Caenorhabditis elegans: one gene and its partners. The protein of the gene in region 3 interacts with the protein of the main gene of each other region in a pairwise test. Each region holds a gene or a part of one and is shown on either strand. Other genes may lie near its edges. The genes, in order: C50E3.13, isy-1 and syf-1.

Region 1 (4,968 bases), on a different chromosome or scaffold from region 3:
TGTGAATTATGAACGGCCTATCCGCATCCCCCTTTTTTATATGGATTCAATGGTATCAAAATGTTTAAACAGATGGATAGTTTTAAAGGGTCGAAGTTTATGAGGATATTGTTTGAACAGATTTTAATGGAAGCTTGGTTTACACCACAACAAATTGTTTACTATCAAAAAATTAAAACGGTATTTGAACAGCGATTGTTAGAGCGTTAATCTCTAATTTCCGTGTGTTCGTTCATTTTTCGTCGATATACAATTTGCTTAATAAATGAATAAACGAAGTAAGTCAGAACTGAATAAAAATTAGTTTAGCCTTGATATAGTAGTTGTAAAAAGAGTAATTTTCAAGTGAAAAATGTTCACAAAAATGTAAAGTTTTTCAAAGTTAAAGTTTAATTTGAGTTTTTTTATTATTTATTAAAATCAAATGCTGATTATAAAAAACAAAGTTATCCAAGAAGAGCTCCAAGAACATTATGGGTAATACGTTCGCCGGCAGCTGAAAAAGTCAAGTTTTGATAACTTGAAGTTTATGATGCAACTTACAAATTTGTGGACGTCCTCCTCCATTTCCACCACGGCCTCCTCCATTGTTTCCTCCTAAACGAGAAAATATTTGAACATTTAAAATTATTTTAAATTATGATAAACACATTTTCTGAATCTAACAGTCCCATTGAAAAATCTAAAACGATGATAGAAGAATTATAATTTTTCACTTAAACTATTGAATACCTCCGTTTCCACCGCGACCTCCTCCATTTCCTCCACGGCCGCCTCCGTTGTCACCAAATCCTGAAAAGAGTGTATTTTTATTTTTCAACCAGGCTATTCTTTCGAATTTGTGATATTTTTGTAATAATTGCTTAGATTTTAATTTTTGATTTTAAAAGCTTTGAAAGTTTTCAATAACTTGAGGGAAAACTGACCTCCTGTACCACCGCGACCTCCTCCATTTCCTCCACGTCCACCTCCGTTGTCATCAAATCCTGTAAATAGTTTAACAATACATTCTAACATAATCATGCTTTGGAATTTGTGGTATTTTTAAAAAAAGATTGCTTGAAAATTTTTAATTCAAGCAACTTTGAAACTTTCAATAGTTGGATTGAAACCGACCTCCGTTACCACCGCGACCTCCCCCATTTCCTCCACGCAGACCTCCGTTGTCTCCAAATCCACCTAAAAATTGAAATTATTAATTGTTAGTTTGATCTAACACTTCAAAAAAAAAATCAAAAATCAATTATTATACAACAAGAAGAGTTCTTACCGTTTCCACCTCGTCCGCCTCCACGACCACCTCCATTAAATCCACCTGAAATATCAAATTTAAATAAACTGAGAATAAAAATAATAAGTTACCATTTCCATTGAAACCACCACCACCATTGTTCCATCCGTCTGGAATTGAAATTAACTTTATCGATAAACATGAATAGCTCAAATTATCTTTTTTTGTTCAAACAAAATATGTCTTGTTTCTGTAGTTTATAATTTAATATTTCTTGTTATCTTTGATGTGAGCGAGGATAAGAACTGAGTCTTGTATAGGATATAAGGTCCATCAAACACACGATGCACTGTTTGAAGAAGAATATGTTCCGATAAGTAACAAGGAAGTCAATTTTCCTATTTTGATCTGATAAAAATGCCACATACCTATCAAACTTTAGATAAAGAAGGCCAAAGTTTCACAAAAAAAACTCTCACAAAACAGGAACTTACTATTTCCTCCAAATCCACCACGTCCACCGCCATTATTCCATTCTCCTGGGCCACGTGGTCCCGGTCCTCCAGATCCAGGTCCTCCAAATCCAGGCCCACCGAATCCTGGACCCCATTGACCGACGGTGAGCCCAAGAAGGGTAACAAGAAGGAAGATGGTCAATTTGTACATACTAAACATACGAAAATATTGTTTTAAAGTTTAAAAATACTTGTAACAGGTTCAAAACTCAATACACATTAAGGGAAACTGAGAAATAAATGAAAGAACAACTAAAACTTTTTCTCCAAAACTTCCTTTATGTGGTGCCACGCCTCCTGTCTTATCTCGGTCTTTTGAAGGTCGGTCAAGACGACCTAAAAAAGAATTTGACACATAAAGTTACACCGAAACATAATGATGATGATAGAAACAGAATTTCACACGAAAAATTACAAAACTTATGTTTCTTTGATTTTGACTTGATTTTGAAGACAAAGGTCAAATGAGGAGGAATTTGGATAGTTAAAGAAAGATCAAGTTATCACAAGTTATTTTATTGAAAGATTGTCGGGGAAAATATTGAAAATTTTTGAAAAATTTTAAACACTTATTAAAACATCAAAAGAACCGCTGGAAATATGCTCGAAATTTCTATAAAATTTGAACTGACTTTGCTTCAAAAATTCAAAACTGTTATTTGGGCACAAATTGAGCCGATTGGATGATTGAATTTTTAATAATTTTCCTTTATACGTGTTATATTTATGTAAATGATTTCATAAATTTTTATTACTTTAAAAAATATACTCATGATCTACTAAAATAATTTTGATCTACAAAATTCTCCAGCGCTGAGATTTCTTTGTTCTCGCAAAATACTCCTTGATCTAATTATTAATTAAATAGAACAATGATCTAATTGAACTCATTCTTCTCTTTCTTGTTACGATCCAAACGTTTTTCTTCGAGTTTCCTCTCCACGCCGAGTGATGTCCGGACCTGAAGAATTAGAAGCGGGAGCCAGTGATGTAAGTAAAAGAATTTAACTTTTTTTTGAAAAGAGCAATTCAGAGCAACGCCGGTGGATCGTCCCGACAAGGACAAGAGCAAGAACGAGTTGAGCCAGTATTGGAAGGAGTTCCGCAGCCAAATGATCAGGAGAGCGCAGATGAGGTATTGAATGAGTTCTTGTGGGATTCTAAAGATTACCTAGTGCTTTAAAAATTACCACGGTACCTAAATAGTGAAAATGATTTTTTGTTTATTTATACTTTTTCTGAAATCGGAGAAGCAAACGAAATAATAATTTATAACACTTCTGGCTTTCAGTTTTTTAATTGACCGAAGCTGAACGTTTTGTCTTCAGTAAAATTAAACTTTGTGGGTTTAGCTTTTGAGAGGATTTATGTTTCGTAACAAAAAGAACGAGATTCTTTCGATTTTCGGAGAATGTTCTGGAAGTTTTTTATGTCTGCTTTTGATTCATTTTGTGCAATTTTCTAGTTGAAGGTTGATTAGTGGTGAAGTCAGGCTTATTTTTTTTATTTTACAGGATCTCACTGCCAGGCAGCCACCGATTCAACCACAAGTTCCAAACGCATCCGATAACCTGCAAGTTCCACCAAATTTGGAATACTTGATAGCAGTGGTAATACTGATTCTAAAAATATAACAACTTTTCCAAATTTTATTTTTCAGAATCCCAGTCAACTGATCACCACTATTCAAATTGGAGCAGAAGTAGCACGACTAGAAGAATTGGAAGATGAATATCGGCAGGAGCTGGAACTAATTAGAATGACAGAATCACTTGGAGAGGAACTCTTACAAAAAGAAAACGAACTCAGAAGTCGAGCTGGATATCTTGGAAGGCTAGATGTTCTTGAAAATCGGAGAAACTACGAAGACGAGGCTGCCGAAAATTTGGCTATCCGAACTGTGCAAAACCGAGTGCTTCTACTGAGAAGGGCGCGGGCCGAACTGTATGAAAGGGAACGAATCGCCCGAAAAACCTTTATTTGGAGATTGAGAAGATTTAAAAATCCAACAGATCAAAGTGTTAATACTTGGATGGAAACTCTGAATGATCGGTTGAACCGTGTCGCAAATTCCTGGGAAAGACGACGGGAGCCGCATGAACAAGCGATTCGAGACTATGAGCGTTTAGTAGCTACTCGACAACGTACCGAAGAAGATCGTCGCAGGGAACGTGCATCAAATCGGGCCGGTCCTTCGAACCAAGAAGATTACGATTCTGAGGATGAAGATGAACATCATGTCGATGAATTACCAGATCTTCTTGAGCTTCTGAGTCTTGTGGTCAACCCTGTTATAGGTGGCGGAGGAATATCAACTAATCGTGCAGAATATTTAAATCCGCGTGGAACAGAAGGCTTGGGTGCTGATGATCCTGATTTGAACGATAGTGGAGGAACTGTGTATCAGAGTGACGAAGAGGAATCAGAGGATGAAGCAGAGATTGATCATCAGGAAGGTCCATCGAATTGGAGGCCCAAGCGACCACGTCGTGATGATGATGAAGGAGGATCGGGAAGCAGCGCAAGCATGTGGAATGCTCCATCCACATCTTCCCAGGCTCTTGGAAGAAGTTGCTAAAATAATGATGAACTCAAGTTGATACTAATTTATTTTAAATCTTTATTTTATAATCCAGTCTGTTTATTTTTTAATATCAATTTTCTTTGATGTATCTTATTTATTTTATTTCATTTCAGGTAAATATTGATTAAATATTGATTACGACCTTTATTTTCGATAGCAATTTTGACAAAAAACGATAAAAAATGATATGAAATTTTTTGATCTACAATGTACGCATGTTTTAATGTTTTTTGTAACGCGGGAGGGGGTTCCCCTCGAATATTCATAAGACCGTTGTTGTTTGACCTACAATTGTCCCGGAAAAATTACCGGTGTCCTTTTCCGAATATTCTTCCTTTCCCTCGCTATAATCGATTGTTTTGGTCAGTTATATTTTTTTTCTATTTTAATTTGACAATTTTCAGTTTTCCCTCTTTTAACTTCGTTTTAAGTTTTAAACAAAATTTGTAAATTTTCAGATTACATCTCAAATCGCTACTAACTGTAAGAGATGAATGTGTCTGGAGAGTCTGCAGCTGATATCGAAGAGGTAAGATTGAATTTTCCTGTTTCAAAAATTAAATTAAGCATTAACATGAATGTTTAGAAGACAAATGGTGAACCAACTCAAGGAAAAGAACAAGAACAAGATGAGCCAG
Region 2 (4,478 bases), on a different chromosome or scaffold from region 3:
TAATGAACTTCTGGCTTTTGATGGGATAGTGAGCAGAAGTTACTGTGGAGATAGGATCTAGGTACTGTAGTACGGTAAAGGTACTGTATACTGTAGGGTTACTGTAGGAATACTGTAGTCTCGGGAAGGGGATCGCGCCGGAGTTGTGAGAATATAAGACAAAAGTTAGAAAAAAAAATTAAATCCAAGAAAGCTCAAAAAGCCAAGATCTGGGCGGAGCCTATTTTCAAAGTATTATTGTGATCAGCCATTCTATCTTTTTTCAATTGTTCATGTCTACAGTCAAACAGATAATCTAAATTTTAGGTAGGTTCAAAACGGAAAAAAGTGCAACGTGCGGAATTCCCTAAATAGGCTCCTCCCATTTCTTTGTTTTACTGTTTTTCATCGATTTTCACTTATAAAACGGAACTTTCTTCTACCCAAATACACATTATTCTCAATTCATCATCTCTCTTGATGTCCATAAACTTCACTCGTATTGGTCAGTTTTTCAGACACCACTTTCAGCCGGTCATGCTCGAGCGCCGATGACCGTCGGCGTCTCAATTCTTCTTGTCATTGTAATTCTGTGTCGTGACAGTCATCAGATGTGGTGCCTTGACGGTTCAGATTGTGCGATATCTAATACATGCTCATTGTGCGAAGGAGCAGCTTGTCTTCGAGTTCAGAGGTTGGAAGATCTCAAATTTTTAACCTTCCATCCAAATGGAAAACTATTTTTTTAACCAAAAATAAATTTAAATAAATAACCTTACAAAACCTTGACTTAAAATCAATTTCTATATTTGAATAGTTCCAAACTTAATTTTCAGAAACCATCTAAACAGAGTCTCAATTGCTCTCACTTGCCTTCCTCACGATACACTTATTCACACATACTATCCAGAAGGTTGCAAAAGGATATCGTTATCTGAGATAGCGTGTATGTGTTCGCACAGAGAATTCTGCAACACATCATCACGAACGACGATGCCGCTCAGTTTACTTGTATTATCTTCTTTCATTTTTCTAATTTTGTAATTTTCTATTATGAATTAATAAAATAAATGAATAAAACCGAAAATTCATAATTTGAGATGAAAAATTTAAAGAAAATAAATTAAACAAGGAATCAATCCAGATACTTAGCCATGAGTTCTTGCTTCTTTTGTTCCAAAAGCATTTCTTCAATGTCTTGTTGAGTTGGCAGTAGAACATGACGAATAGTCATTGGTCGTCCATCCTCTCCGATGACTGTAGACTCTTGAGTTTCCAGGTCGTCGTCATCGTCTTCTTCGACCTTATAGATATTTTCAGGTGCTGCATCGGAAGCAGTTTGTTGCTTTTGAGCTTGTTTCTCGGCAAACTCCTTATTGATTCGTTCAATGTTTTTCTCTTCAATTAGTTTTTCCAAAGGAATTAAGCGACCATCTTCGTCATCCAAGTAACCAAAATAGTGAGCGTCGATATTTCTCAATAAATCAGCACGATGGCGTCGTTGTTCTTCACCTTCTGTGCTTTTTTCGAATAGTTCGCGTACACCGGGAAGATCTTTTGCAGCTCCAAAATATTTGTAACCTCGGGAATTGCCCGTTTCCCTCCCTATTGCATCGAGTTCTTTTTGTGCATACTTTCTGAAAATAATAATAAGAATAATATGTCTAATTGTCATTTTTCTTACCGATAGTCCGTACCACCCAACTCTCGAATACGTTGTTCCCAAGCATGTTTCAGTTTTATCAGTCGATTAACTTCGTCATTCAAGTCCCGAAGCTTGAATTCACCGAGACCAGGATTTTGGATAGCTGTGATCTTTTTCGAAGCATCTCGCACAATCTAAATAAAGTTCAAAATTACAGGTTTTCATACAAAATCTAACCTCTCGTCTGAATCGCTCAGCATCTGACAAATTCCTGCAATCTTTCACATCGTGGGGTCTTCTGGCAATAGGACCCTGCAATTAAAATTATCTTGATATTAATATTCAAAAAAAAAGAGTAAAATGAAAAGAAAAACTTACCCTCTCCTCTTCCTCCTTCATTCTTCGCCATCGTGCTAGCGCCGTCATAGCCTTTTCCGCATTTCGGGCCATTTTTAAAGCTCGAGTAAGTCTGAAACAATTAAATTTAATTGCGAAATTAAATAAAAAGATATAAAAGCAGAATCAAACAAAAATATAAAGTAAATTGAGCATTTTTGTTTCGAAAAAATAAATGTTTGAAAATGAAATTTTCTAAATAGAGCGCACTTTCGCGCAATAGCGGAGTATCGTTGTGCAGCAATTGGCGGTTATTCAAATTCAATATTTTACACCCTTCAATCATTGAGCAATTTTTAAAGTGTTTCTTTCTGATTGAAAACAAATCATAAATGTAAAAGCTTTATTACAAATAAGTTCATTTAATGTTGAAAAGACATAGCTCTTGAAGCGAATCTATTTCGTTTATCATCAGTTTTGGAATTTAAATCATTTGAGACTGGAACTGCAGTGAGTCCAAATGGAAGACTTTGCCGTCGAAGGAATACTTCTGGCTGATGTGCAGGTGGTTCACAAATTGATTCTTGTGGTGATTGCTCTCTGTCCTCCACTTCTAAAGAAAATTATGGTTTTAGTAGCTAATTTTGTCAAATACCAGGTTCAATTTCACTCAAAGCAGGAGCAGGTTGAAAATTAATCCTGCTCAGAATTGAATGACGATGTCGTGTATGACCTGTAGGTGTAGACGGAACAGTTAATGTCTTTTCTCCTTCATCTTTTGGTTGGTCCCCTTGAACTGAAGGTGGTGGAGCAAGTGCAGGAGGAATTGCTTGTCTACAATAATATAGAATTAAGACTAAATAAGGAAGTATTTCCTTGAGCTTTATGGTTAATCTTTCAGACGCTCTAAGCTCATAAAAAGTTGTTTTATTTGTGTCGGATGGGATATTTATTTTGAATATAATACTACTTCAGACATGTTGACTCACCGAAGATATCGAATAAAAGTGTGCCGAGACGCGTTGCTGTTTTTGGCATAAAATGGGCAACGATAGAACAATCCGGCAGAACATAGTGATAATATCAGAAAGAATACTGTAAACCAAAAGTTATCTTTTTTTTTCGAAAATGTGAATCCACCTATAAATGATCCATTTAAAGCGAAGAATCCAATTAACATAATCTGACTTGATGATAAAGCATCTCTACCATATCTGTATGAAGTGTGAGGTGTACGTGGCTGTAAAAATAAAATAAATGTTTCGAATCTCTGAAACCATTTCTTACAGTAATAAATGCACAAGTTGATTCATCTTCTCCGCAAGTATCCAATCCATCACATTCTAGACTCGAAGAAAAACAGTATTTGGAGCAATCTAGAAATCAGTAATGGTAAAACAGTTTTTGTGTGAAAAATGAGGTTACTGTAGCATAGGCTGTATTCTGGACATCTGATAGACTCATATGAAGAGCATTCCTTTGGATTTGAAAACAATAAAATCGATCGGAAATTCAGATTCATTGGAATTGTCAACCATACTGGAGTTTTCATTAATTGATAACCCTAAAATTTTAATAATTTCTCGTAACTGTTACGGTAATCTAACCTTTGGCTTGCTGTCCACAATGAACTGCATATCAGAGTTTCGTAATATAATTTCATTTGGATTCCGTGGTCTTCTATGGGAAAACATAAGGAAATTGGTAATGGAAACAAGTATAAGATTTCCATTTAGACTTTGAATTTCAATTTCACAAACTTCGGATGTTTCATCTTGCCCAACAGATAAGTAATCATCAGTTGTTATCATTAAAATATCATCGACGTATGCTCTGAAAACTTACGAATTCTCATGATCTCATTTTCTTAAAAATTGACTTCAAACATTAATCTTACTTTTTAAAAGGGCAATAAGCATTTGCTTCTATAGTTATGAAAAATAAAATAAATGTCAAATTGAGAAACATTTCGGAAATCTAAAAAAAAAAAGACGCATGGCAAGAAAACGAAAAGGTGGGTGAAGAAGTCATTGAGATTCAATATTTTTCATCAATTCGGAAAGAAAATGCATTCCGGATGCACATCATCTTCAATTCCCCACTCAAGTTCGTTTACCCTTTATTTTTAAATATAACACATAATTGAAAAATGCGGAAACGATTTTGATAATTGATAGTGAAACTGGGAAATTGGCTGATTGCACGATTTCACTGAAAGAATATCATGTTTTTTAATTCCACAATCATTCTTGCAAGATAATTGGTATTTTTCAAACGTTTTGAAACATTGAATTACCGTTTTGTTATTGAAATGTCTGTTAGCTTAATATTATGTTACACTGAAAATTAACATTGTTAAATTTCATTGGGCATTGCTGAATTCAGAGTAGCTTGTTTTTTAATGTTTTTTAAAAGTTTTCCATAGCTCGGAATATCGGAACAGCAGAACTTTTTATCGACGAGGTGCGAACAATGATCGAACTATTACGAGAACGGCAGTTTTTCGAGTTGACAATAA
Region 3 (4,968 bases):
GATATTGTACATCTAAAATGACAATTTTGAAGAATTTGCGGGTTTTATCGGGTTTTATCGTGATTTTTCGTTTGAAAAATTGAATTTCGCGAAATTTTGTTGTTTTGAAGTGTTTTTAACTATAATTTTTGCGTCGTTTTGTTCAATTAAATCCAATTTTTGTCAATTTTCAGCAAGAATTTACAACATTTGGTCTCAGGAAGCTATAGATATATTAAAAATAAAACATTTATATTCCAAAAATTTTTGCGTCTTTAGCAGGAATATTGGATTTTCGTATAGTTTTTTTCGAATAAAAAGCTACACTATGCGCAATTTCGACTGAAAATTTCGAATTTTGTGCCTTTTTCTTTGCAGAAAGCTATGATTTTCCTATTTCCAGGTATTTTTGAGCTCTAAAGCGCTGAAAATTCAGGATTTTTTAATTTAAAATTGAGCTTTCAACATTTTTCAATATTTTACAAAAAAAAAATTGTGCTTACCGAGTGCATATCGGCACGGTCAACTCCTGAGCAGGCTCTGTTGTATATGGAAAGAGCATGCCTGGCGAGTCCGTGCTCTTCTTCCAGTTTGGCATAGAGTAAGAAAATATCTAAAATAAATTTGGTATTGTTTGATTTATTTCAACTTTTTCAAAAGTTCTTACATTTCGCATGGGTTGGTGGGCAGTTTTCCAGACATTGCTCAAACAAATCACGTGCTCTTTCCAGCTTCTTTCCACCGTATCTTTTAATGAATTTGACCAAATATGTATTCCAAATATCAAAAACTCCGGGCCACTTGAACAGAGCAATTCCCTTCTCGTAGGCTTGGAATGCCAGCTCGAAATACTCATTCTCCTCCAAAAACATTGCGTAATTCATAATCATCTGTGGAGAAGCTACACGAAGCTCGATCATCTTATCATAAACTTTCCGACAAGACTCAACAGTTCCACAACATTCCTCATAATCCGCGTACATTGCCCATAGAATCGGACTTCTGTGAACTCTTGCTTGAACTGATTGCATATTCTCGTAATCTCCTGGCTTCGGAACAACACATGCTCGTTGCATAACTGTCAGTGCAGCTTTTGCTCTTTTATGCTTCATTTCCATTTCGGCATACGCACACCACACATTTGCAAGTTCACTGACACCTCCGAATTGTGAGATCACAGCGGTCTCGAACGTCTTACGAGCAGCATCCAAGTCACCATTATCCTCATACAACTTGGCAAGACCGATCCAGAGATCACGAACTTTTCCGACTTGAATTTTGGGATTTACAGATTTTACGGCTTCCTTGAATGTCTCAATTTGCTTGTTGTAATTTCCTTCGTAGATATTCACTCGGTTGAGCCATTCTCCAACATTATGTGGATTCTGCCGGAGAAGTACACTGTTCATTAGTTCATTCTTTCTTTCCATCAAATGTTGATATCTGGAATTTCAAGAGGGTTTTACAAATTTATAGTTAAACGATTTGAAGGTAAAGGTAAAGGTAAAGGCTTTACAAAGAGATTTTGCAAAAATTGCTCAACACATTTTTTTCAAAAAGGGCTTCTTATCGGTGCTAAATTTCGAAAAAAAGGCCAATTTTAGCTAAAATCTCCAATTTTTTCCAACTTTTCCGTGCCCGGTCATTGATTTTTTTTAAATTTTAATATACCTTAGCGTTAGATAAACTGCACAAATAAAATAAAAAATACGAATAATCTGACATTAATCAAGTAAATGTCATGTTACGACCGCTGCGACACGGAAAAGTTGGCGAAATTGGTGATTATAGCTGAACTTAGGTCATTTTTTTGAATTTTTGACATACAAACCTCTGGAACATCCACTCAAGATCAACTTCTTCTTCCGGATCACCACTTTGTTCCACTTCTTGCATCATAATCGACACTTCTCGTTCTTCAAAAGCTGCATAAGCATCATAAACTTGAGCGAAATCTCGTACAGTTGACACTTTAGCAATAGCCTCCTCATACACGTCTCGAGCCTGAAATCAAATTTGTGCTCAGAAAAAAAACACTTTTTCAAATTTACTCTTTCGAACTCTGCGCTACGAATGTAATAGTCGGCTAGTGAGCACCACAAAAATCCAACTTGATCCGTGTACCGATAGATTCCTTGACGAATAATTGCGTCGACGTTCAGCGAGAAGATCTTTACTGGATTCTTTGAGATCAAATCACACAGCTGAGTCCACAGTTGATGTGCAGTTCTTCCTTTTTCCGAAACATTCTGATCTTGATTTACTAGAGTTGTCAATTCTTTTGCTGCCTCGTCGATTTGATCTCTTTCAATAAGATACTCAACGTAATCCTCACGAGCTTTCGGATTCATCTTCAAATATCTTCTGTAGACACGAATTGTAGTTTCTGGCAGATCGTGACTTGTCAGAAAGCCGATATACAATGTCCAGATACGCATGTGCTGGGTGACTGGAAGAGAACGGAGAGCTCGATCGAAAACTCGTCTGGTCTCTGTGATGAGGCCTCTTTTGATCATCACTTCGCAGTAACAAATCCAAATACGTGGCATCTTGTGTAATCTCATGAGACATCTCTCATAAGTGTCACAGAGTGCTCTCCAGGAGTTGTCTGTTGGGCATTTGTTGACAATTGTGCTTTCTCTGTATTTCAGATAATGATACCAAAGTTTGTAGCTTCTTTCGAAAACTGCAAGTGCACGTTCGTAGATCTGAAATTAAAAAATGTTTTTTGAAGAAAATTAAATGAAAATTACCAAAAACATCTGCTTGGCAGGAGATTTGTTCTGCAATTTGTGATCGATATATCTCTGCCAACAATTTACTGACGTGGGATTTCTAATGATATCCTCTTCAAACGGAACATCTTCGGAAGACTGAAAATTGCATTATTGTTTCCTGTTCTGATTGTTTCTTCACTTACGATCCCTTTCATCGTCTCAGAGTTCGGCATTTTTTCAATTTTTGTTGCATTTTCTTTGTCGGCCATTATCTGGAAAGATAAAAATATAACAAATTAAAAGTAATCCGAGCTTTAAATATTAAAAAGAATATGAATAAAATTTAATTTTCGAAAAATGCGGGAGATTTTTGATCGTCGGTTCTGGTGTATGCAGACCGAAAGAGTACGCAATTGTGGACCGTAGTCTGGTGTGGAAATACGCGTTGGCTTTTCAGGAAAAAAGATTTTATCGAAAAAAAACGTTGTGATTTCACATGTGAATTGTTTTTGTTCAATTTTAATTATTAATCTTAATTATTGAAATTTTGTAATCATGTACTTCGAATGTGTTTTTCTACAAAACATTGATAAATTCTCGGTTTCCCTGTGCAAGTATCCGAATTTTCAGAATGTCGTCGTTTCGGCAGTTTGTCTGGGATCCAGTGCTCCTCGTCAGTCAAATGACGTGTCTTCAGACATTTTTCTACGCTACTCAAACTTCAGTAATGCTGTTCTGCAGCTTTTTCGGCTACGAACCTCTCATTTCCTCTATTTTCTCAATACAGGTTTGGATTTTCCCAGTCTATTTAATTTTAAAATTATTATTTCAGACACAACGATCAATGGCATTAATTCAATTAGTTTCCGCCGTCGGAGTCTCATTCGCACTGTCGCATTTAGTGCAACGTGCGAAACAATGCCTGGATTTTGCCTGTACAGTGCACTTTTTCCATTTAATATTTACCACTATTTACAACCATGCTCTTCCAACCCAATTTACATGGTTAGGATTTAATTATAAAACTTTTGAAATTCAAATTCCTTTTTAAGGTGGATTCTTCAAGTAATATCGACAACAGTTTGCACGGTTCTTGGAGAATATCTGTGCATGCGAATCGAATCGCAGGAAATAAAATTGGAAGGTGGTCCTTCTCGCTACGATCTTTAATATAATCAGAGAAGCATATTTAAATTATTCAGCTCATTTTGCGGGTGTTTGATTCGATTATTAAATAGACAGTTCCTGTAAATTATCAATTAATTCGGTGTAAATAAACTGATGTTTCTTCTTCTTTCTTCTCTTGTAAATTAGGAGCATGAGAAAGTCAGAAGAAAGTAAATAATAAAGATTTTATGAATAAAATAGAAAACAGGGAGTTCAATCACAGATGATGTGTAATATGCAATACAAGGGGATAGTGAGCGAAGGGGGGACAGAATACAGGAAAAATAGAAGCTAAAAACCCAAAATTGGCTCCTAAAAAAAAGAAGGGGATTGACAATAAATTATTTAGCGAGTGTGATGGAAGGCGAGAGACTAGCTTATAAAAGCAATTTTAATATTGACAAGAATATGGGAAAAATCTATATTTTGATTTTTGGCAATTATTTTCCTTTGTTCTGGGCTTCCTCGACGAGTTTATCCTTGATCGATTTCATAAAATCATGGGTTGCAGCTTGAGCCGGCGACAATTCAGTCTGGGCATCTCTCTTGATTGGTTCATAAGCAAACTTGAGCCCGGTTCCAGCATTCAAGCTTGAAGATTGTTCTGCAGATGGCTCCGACTCATTTACCAGCTCGATTCCCCATTCATTGTCCTCATGAACGACGGTTTCTTCTTCTGGAACTTCCACTTCAAGATCCACAGGTTGATTGGCAACCTTCTCTTCGTATTCTTTTTGTCTTTGCAGACAGTGAGAGTCGTCGCAGTATGGGTTCGGCTTGATGCTGTCACGAGGGAAAAAGTCTGATAATGCGTTGTATCCAACGTACTGGGAGACTTCTCCAAAGTTCAGAAGGTATTTCAGCGTGTTCATCACCAAAAATCCAGCAACTACAGCCATTGTTGTTGGAAGTGACGCAGCACACACTCCATCGCGTTTCAACGTACGCTCGTCAATTCCCGAAGCGACAACGAGTGGAGGAACACACTGAAAAAATGAACATTTGTTTTGATTTCAAGGATGAAACTTCACTTACAGCAAAACACGCCGTCTTTCCTGGTTCGATATACTGAATATGGCCGGACACGGCATTCTCACTGACTCCA

Evidence for each region.
Region 1: the proteins of syf-1 (region 3) and C50E3.13 interact in a two-hybrid assay, tested with the Caenorhabditis elegans proteins (one large-scale study listed by BioGRID).
Region 2: the proteins of syf-1 (region 3) and isy-1 interact in a two-hybrid assay, tested with the Caenorhabditis elegans proteins (one large-scale study listed by BioGRID).

Annotation. Positions count from the first base shown.
Region 1 is NC_003283.11:7,621,882-7,626,849, reverse strand, and holds C50E3.13 (uncharacterized protein), read left to right. Parts: upstream 1-2,597; 5' UTR 2,598-2,697; coding exon 2,698-2,736; intron 2,737-2,779; coding exon 2,780-2,881; intron 2,882-3,260; coding exon 3,261-3,356; intron 3,357-3,406; coding exon 3,407-4,324; 3' UTR 4,325-4,523; downstream 4,524-4,968. Other genes in the region: grsp-4 (Glycine Rich Secreted Protein), read right to left, coding at 447-496, 544-597, 733-792, 927-986, 1,117-1,179, 1,271-1,315, 1,363-1,401, 1,726-1,897; C50E3.12 (uncharacterized protein), read left to right, coding at 4,821-4,859, 4,917-4,968.
Region 2 is NC_003283.11:10,998,607-11,003,084, forward strand, and holds isy-1 (Protein isy-1), read right to left. Parts: upstream 2,094-4,478; 5' UTR 2,075-2,093; coding exon 2,003-2,074; intron 1,937-2,002; coding exon 1,862-1,936; intron 1,819-1,861; coding exon 1,664-1,818; intron 1,617-1,663; coding exon 1,115-1,616; 3' UTR 1,057-1,114; downstream 1-1,056. Other genes in the region: nssp-65 (Activin_recp domain-containing protein), read left to right, coding at 531-673, 816-1,023; F53B7.4 (Low-density lipoprotein receptor domain class A), read right to left, coding at 2,383-2,573, 2,616-2,794, 2,950-3,055, 3,101-3,200, 3,248-3,336, 3,386-3,524, 3,568-3,793, 3,858-3,928. UniProt on the Caenorhabditis elegans protein: Regulates the processing of the mir-60 microRNA (miRNA), which in turn negatively regulates the expression of the transcription factor zip-10. Does not affect the splicing of zip-10.
Region 3 is NC_003279.8:3,875,063-3,880,030, reverse strand, and holds the start of syf-1 (Pre-mRNA-splicing factor SYF1), read right to left. Parts: upstream 2,969-4,968; 5' UTR 2,966-2,968; coding exon 2,900-2,965; intron 2,853-2,899; coding exon 2,733-2,852; intron 2,688-2,732; coding exon 2,031-2,687; intron 1,984-2,030; coding exon 1,811-1,983; intron 1,423-1,810; coding exon 647-1,422; intron 593-646; coding exon 483-592; intron 13-482; coding exon 1-12. Other genes in the region: T03F1.12 (Protein SYS1 homolog), read left to right, coding at 3,328-3,483, 3,529-3,701, 3,749-3,866; uba-5 (Ubiquitin-like modifier-activating enzyme 5), read right to left, coding at 4,304-4,849, 4,899-4,968.